Saccharomyces cerevisiae S288C: one gene and its partner. The gene in region 1 interacts genetically with each later gene. Each region holds a gene or a part of one and is shown on either strand. Other genes may lie near its edges.

Region 1 (3,579 bases):
GAGCTAAACGTGAGGCAATTCCCGTCGAAATTATTCATAATGCGTCCGTTATGAATGCAGTTGGGGCATGTGGCCTACAACTATACAATTTCGGTCAAACCGTTTCCATGGTTTTCTTTACCGATAATTGGAGACCAGACTCATGGTACGACAAGATCTGGGAAAATAGAAAAATTGGCCTTCATACTTTAGTGTTATTGGACATCAAAGTTAAGGAACAAAGCATTGAAAATATGGCCCGTGGCAGACTAATCTACGAACCACCAAGATACATGTCTATCGCTCAATGTTGTGAACAATTATTAGAAATTGAAGAGAAAAGAGGTACAAAGGCATACACTCCTGATACTCCAGCAGTCGCAATTAGTAGATTAGGCTCGAGCTCCCAAAGCTTTAAGTCTGGTACCATAAGTGAGTTAGCCAATTACGATTCAGGAGAGCCACTTCATTCGCTTGTCATCCTCGGCAGACAATGTCATGAATTGGAGCTGGAATACCTGCTAGAGTTTGCCGACGACAAAGAAAAGTTTGGGAAAGATGTGGCAAATGACCAAGAGTACTTCAAACCTGCGGCATGGGTCCCACCCACAGAAGACGACAGCGACGAGTAAAGGTAATGCACACGCTCATGTGTAGTTTCTTTTTTATAATGTATATTGAATAGATCCTTTCAGTCGGGTAACAATTCGATCCCAAACGAATCGGGCCCTAACGATATGTGTAAAAATGGCAATGAATGAACAAGAAGTTATAACAACAATTTCAGCCAAGAACAAGAGCGATCCTGGAGGAGATTATATACGGATACACAGGTACACAAGATGACGCAATTAAAATATTTGTTGCTGGTTTCTAGGCAAGGAAAAATCAGATTAAAGAAATGGTACACGGCAATGTCCGCTGGTGAAAAGGCAAAAATTGTGAAAGACTTGACACCTACGATATTAGCAAGAAAACCCAAAATGTGTAACATCATCGAGTATAATGACCACAAAGTAGTATACAAGCGATATGCTAGTCTATATTTTATTGTTGGGATGACGCCCGATGTTGACAATGAACTGCTGACCTTGGAAATTATCCATCGGTTTGTCGAAACAATGGACACATATTTCGGCAATGTTTGTGAGCTAGACATTATATTTAACTTCAGTAAGGTCTACGATATCTTGAATGAGATGATTATGTGCGATGGCTCCATCGCAGAGAGCAGTAGGAAGGAAGTACTGCACCATGTGACCGTGATGGACACCATGGAGAGCAACGATAATCTTGAAAGGGTATTGAGTTAGGACCACTAAAAAACAATGGAATGAAGAAGAAAGGAGAAGAATAAGATGAGAAGGGGGCAAGGGGCCCTACTATTATTACCGTCTGTCGCAAAAGCCGTTGCCCGGACAAAAATATCTTTTGCGAGCATCGGCACAACGTTGATTGGTCAGAGCGGTAAAAAGGAATGAATGTGAAAAATGTAAAGAATATATAGGCGATAAAATTATCATGCGAAGTGATGTACATATTTTTGAATTTAAGCATCAATAGGACGAAAGAATAGATTTCAGACTAAGATAAAATAATCGAGAATAATTAAAAGACGATAATGAAATTGTTTCAAAACAGTTACGATTTCAACTATCCATGGGACCAGGTAACCGCCGCTAACTGGAAAAAATACCCAAATGAAATATCTACACATGTCATCGCAGTGGACGTTTTAAGAAGAGAATTGAAGGATCAAGGTAAGGTCTTAGTTACTGAACGGTTGATTACTGTAAAACAAGGTGTTCCCAAATGGATCATGATGATGCTAGGAGGGACCAATATGAGTCATGTCAGAGAAGTTTCTGTGGTAGACTTAAATAAAAAGAGCTTGACCATGAGAAGCTGTAATTTAACGATGTGCAATCTATTAAAAGTCTACGAAACTGTAACATATAGCCCGCATCCCGATGACTCGGCTAATAAAACACTTTTCCAGCAGGAAGCCCAAATTACAGCATATGGATCCATTAGAAAGCTGTGTAATAAGATGGAAGATTGGTCAGTTCAAAGGTTTTGCGAGAACGCTAAAAAGGGTAAAATGGGATTCGATGCTGTTTTGCAAGTATTTAGTGAAAATTGGGAAAAACATGTTGATGACTTGAGCAATCAACTTGTCAGTAAAGTCAATGAAACCATGGAGGATGTTAAAATATCTGCAGGTACGCTTCTTAAAGGAACTGAAAGGAGCGGCAGAACCATCTTACAGCAAAATATTGACTTGTTTAGAGACGCATACAACCACGAAAATTAGAGATACAAATTCCTTGATCCCGCATGGCACTGCATACTACTTATATTCCTCTACTGTCTATCTATTCATTTGTTCTTTTGTTGTAAATAGAAAAGTAAATAATGACAATATTAAAAGCCTTTTTCAAAATTTAACGATCAATTAAAATATATAAGTTTTAAAAATACTTTACTTAAGCGTTAACCTTGTAGACGGAATGACACTTACCACAGTACAATCTGTCCTTGTGGTTAGCCAAGAAAACACCAGCACCACAAGTTGGGTTGCTACATTCTCTTCTCAATTTGGTAACCTTACCTTCAGCATCGACCTTGTAGTAGGACAAGACAGCCAACTTGACCTTCTTGTGCTTGTGCTTGATCTTCTTTGGGGTGGTGTAGACCTTCTTCTTTCTCTTCTTACCACCACCTCTCAATCTCAAGACCAAGTGTAGAGTAGATTCCTTTTGGATGTTGTAGTCGGACAAAGTTCTACCATCTTCCAATTGCTTACCAGCAAAGATCAATCTTTGTTGGTCAGGTGGAATACCTTCCTTGTCTTGGATCTTGGACTTGACATTGTCAATAGTGTCAGAAGATTCAACTTCCAGGGTAATAGTCTTACCGGTTAAAGTCTTGACGAAAATTTGCATCTTGGCTTGTCGGCAAAATTAAAAATTAACTGCTTCTTTCTTACCAAGTAATCTTGTGACTTCTTTGTATTGGAATAAAAGATAGAAGTAAGGAAGTTTCTGATATAACGAACATCTCAAAATATTTAAACCATTTAATAAGTCTAAAAGTATCTAGTTTTTCATTTTGATGAGTTCCCACCGCTTGAAAAAGTGCGCCCGGGCCAAAAAAAAAAGTTTGTACTAAAATAAATGATAAATGATAAACCCAATTCCTTACAGGATGCACGGAGGTAAACAGGAAAGATATCTCAAGAACTTCTCGTTCATTAACCCCAGGTAGATCGCACTAAAGACTTCACCACTATTGATAAAGGTTTTGTAGAATATTTATTATCGATACCTTGCGGTTGCAAATTAATATACCCATCAAATAATTAACCCCAACCAAGTTTAATTTCTCTCCTTTCAACAAATGGGGAGGCTCAAATGTTTTTACTTACTTGAAACACTCTTTTGATTTGCTACAAAATAATCAAGCAGCGATATTTAATATGAAATTCTACCTTTAAAATTACTCCTATGACTCCACATGCATGGGGGAGGGGTAAGATGCGCAGTCAAATCAGAGAGAAATGTTATGTAGCAAAGATAATGAGTGCGTCTGAATAAAACT
Region 2 (3,433 bases), on another chromosome or scaffold:
CTAGAACTGTTATTTTCAAAGGACTGGGCCCAGGATTTTCTTTCCTTCAAAGAAGAAGTCTGAATTAATCGTAAAGCTGACTTCCCTGAAATTGTTGTGAACAACGTAATTATGAGAGCCTCAAGCAATAGGTTAGAGCATATTTTCTGATCATTAAACATGGTTTCATTATATAAGATCTTCTCCAAATTTTCCACCGATGGAACATAATTTTTATCTTTCAGTAACTCTTGTAAGGGAATAAAGTCCTTAAAATGAACCGAATCACCTGAAGAATCTTCACTGGCTAAATTTTGCCTTTCAGCATAATTAGTAGCTGCTTTCTTTTTCGTCATCACTTTCTTACGTAAGTATGTGGAGTTAAGAGAGAAAAAGTGTTTGAAAAAAGCTCCTCAACGATCTACTGGGCTGCCAAAATAAAATTCAGCGTCAATGGAAAAGCTAACTAATGTAGATATTGCGTGCACTACTTGTCAAAAATTCGTGCTCCTTATTAATATATGTATATGTATATACAAATGTGTCAATACATCAATAGTGCAATTTGTTAAAGTATTTGTATTCATAAATTGGCGCTGCCCGGGTAAGGTAGAAATTGCATCAGATAAAAGTGAGGGCCCATTGTTTGCCATTCGAACACATCCATCCTACGTGGTATCAATGGTTGTTGATCCGCTCTCTTTCTGCTAGGAAGTACTTTACAATCCCCTGATAGGCACTCATATCGCCACAGCGGATGATATTACCAATGTCTACGTCAAGTGGAGAATCACAAACGGGTTCCCTTAGGAGTCTCCAAACAGCATGAACACAGTGTAACAAATCCCATACAGGAGTCCACTCCTCTGGTTTAAGGATGTTCAGACATATTTCTCCTGTGGCTGATTTAACATTGCAGTGCAAAATATTGTTCTGCATAAAACTTATCTTTGGTGGATTCATGGGGTAGGAACTAGGGACTTCTATTAGTATTCGAAACTGATGATTTTCATAAGGTGTGTCTGACGGCCCAGAAATTATAGCTTCCCACTTGCTCAAGTCGGTTTCGTCAATCGGGTTAAGTGACTCGATTATCCCCCGGTAGGGGTTCGCTATGGGGTCATCACTGGCCAATGTTTTCAGTATGACTTTGTACTCCTTCACGATCCTCGACATACATGTATCAGACGTATAGCTCCTACGATTCTCAAGAATCCAGAAGTTTGGCATATTATGTATAAAGGCGATGATTATGTATATTTTATGTTGTCTCCAGTAAGTGGCAGCATAACCCGGCCAGTCTGCGCTGCATGCTGTGAAGCAGTAATATGCGATATATACCACATATATTCCGCTTCCGTTCAGGATTTCGAAAAGAGAAACTTCAGTGAATGACTATGACTACATAGTTGGAGTCTTAGACCATTGCAAATGAGTTATTCAAGTATGAGAGATCAACACTGATGAGAATAAACTCGTCTTCATGATGATACGGGTAACGCGAATGTATCGCATCAATAAATTTCAGGGAAAGGGAGTTTGACGATCTCATGGATGCAACGGTTGAGGTATATAATATTAAGCAGAAAGAAGAGGAAAAAAAATAAATCGGTAAACCAACCATCAACGGTACGAAACTTACATTCAAAATCAATAATTTACTTTAGAAAAGAATGTCTAATTCTGCCAAACTTATCGATGTCATCACCAAGGTGGCGTTGCCCATTGGTATAATTGCTAGCGGGATTCAGTACTCCATGTATGATGTGAAGGGTGGTTCTCGTGGTGTTATTTTCGACAGAATCAATGGTGTAAAGCAACAGGTTGTGGGTGAAGGCACTCATTTCTTGGTGCCTTGGCTACAGAAGGCGATCATATACGATGTGAGGACGAAACCAAAGAGCATTGCTACCAATACTGGTACGAAGGATTTGCAAATGGTGTCATTGACCTTGAGAGTCTTACATAGACCAGAGGTCTTACAGCTACCCGCAATATACCAAAATTTGGGTCTCGATTACGACGAAAGAGTGTTACCATCTATCGGCAATGAGGTTTTAAAGTCTATAGTAGCTCAATTTGATGCTGCTGAGTTAATTACTCAGAGAGAAATTATTTCTCAAAAAATCAGAAAAGAGCTTTCTACGAGGGCCAACGAATTCGGTATTAAGTTGGAAGATGTCTCTATCACTCATATGACGTTTGGTCCCGAATTCACGAAAGCAGTTGAGCAGAAGCAGATTGCACAGCAAGATGCCGAAAGAGCCAAATTCCTTGTCGAAAAGGCAGAGCAAGAGAGACAAGCTTCTGTTATCAGAGCTGAAGGTGAAGCAGAAAGTGCTGAATTCATTTCAAAAGCCTTAGCTAAAGTTGGTGATGGTCTGTTATTGATTAGAAGATTAGAAGCTTCTAAGGACATCGCTCAAACATTAGCAAACTCATCTAACGTTGTCTATTTACCAAGTCAACATTCTGGTGGTGGTAACAGCGAGTCTTCGGGATCACCAAATTCCTTGCTTTTGAACATTGGCCGTTAAGTCTGGAAAAGCTATGAACACAATAAACTAGGGGAGAAAATTTTTTTTTAATCATATTAGAAACCTGTATATATGGGGGATAACAACGCCAATAACATATTCCATCTTTCCATTTAGTTACCAACACGAATACGTATGCTATCAATATCGTAACTTAGTTTTTTATCATTTATATATATACATGGATGAGCCTACGAAAAAACTAAAGCACATTCATGTATCACCATAATATTATTTTAGAAAGAACTTTTTTTGTTAAATTTATTTAATGCAAAGGTTATATAAAGAACGATCAACGAAAATTGTACGCGAATTGCCTTTTTTTCAGTCCAGTAGGCTTAAACCTGGGAAATTGTAGGTATGCCCATTTGTCTTCTTGCCCTCCTTCTGCTGAATCCGGTATTAGAGCCAAATCCACCATTTTGCATCATACCCATCGTGGCCACAGTCACTTTGATGAGGAATAGAAAACAGGAAAAGTAAAAAAACGCAACAGCAGCCTGAGATTGATGACATCTGGAGCTTGAGCCTTGTATGATCTTATTCTGTTCCAGATATGTTTTGTTTTTACACGAATGGCATCTTATACCTACAGCCAAAGCGGTGGCTGCTACAAACGTAAATATGAAATTTAAAAAATCCAAAACAAGCAAAATTGCTGGGTATGTTAATGATGTCCAGAAATTAGCCAAAAACCCATATAATGAATCCGTAACCAGACCATAAACGGCGGCAAACATACAAAAGTTCACTCGAGAACTATGCTTTGTCTGTGTACCTATCAGGCCGCTGATTAGACCTATGGATATAATAAGAAAAACAGCATTTATGATGCGCACTAAATTATCTGCAGCTGATAGCATTTATTATTGTTGTTGCTTTATTGTTATTTAAAATTCCAATGAATATGAAGCCTC

The links.
Region 2: mutations in UPS2 (region 1) and PHB1 together harm fitness more than expected from each alone (negative genetic interaction), as found in Saccharomyces cerevisiae (5 studies listed by BioGRID, with this or other methods).

Annotation. Positions count from the first base shown.
Region 1 is NC_001144.5:498,292-501,870, reverse strand, and holds UPS2 (Ups2p), read left to right. Parts: upstream 1-1,600; coding exon 1,601-2,293; downstream 2,294-3,579. Other genes in the region: DPH5 (diphthine synthase), read left to right, coding at 1-611; APS1 (Aps1p), read left to right, coding at 822-1,292; ubiquitin-40S ribosomal protein eS31 RPS31 fusion protein, read right to left, coding at 2,466-2,924. UniProt on the Saccharomyces cerevisiae protein: Required for mitochondrial cristae morphogenesis and MGM1-processing. Controls the stability of mitochondrial phosphatidylethanolamine (PE). With UPS1, controls the level of cardiolipin in mitochondria.
Region 2 is NC_001139.9:754,672-758,104, reverse strand, and holds PHB1 (prohibitin subunit PHB1), read left to right. Parts: upstream 1-1,652; coding exon 1,653-2,516; downstream 2,517-3,433. Other genes in the region: CCR4-NOT core subunit CAF130, read right to left, coding at 1-335; PEX4 (E2 ubiquitin-protein ligase peroxin 4), read right to left, coding at 658-1,209; FHN1 (Fhn1p), read right to left, coding at 2,855-3,379. UniProt on the Saccharomyces cerevisiae protein: Prohibitin probably acts as a holdase/unfoldase for the stabilization of newly synthesized mitochondrial proteins. Involved in mitophagy; may act as an adapter for ATG8 that supports mitophagosome assembly.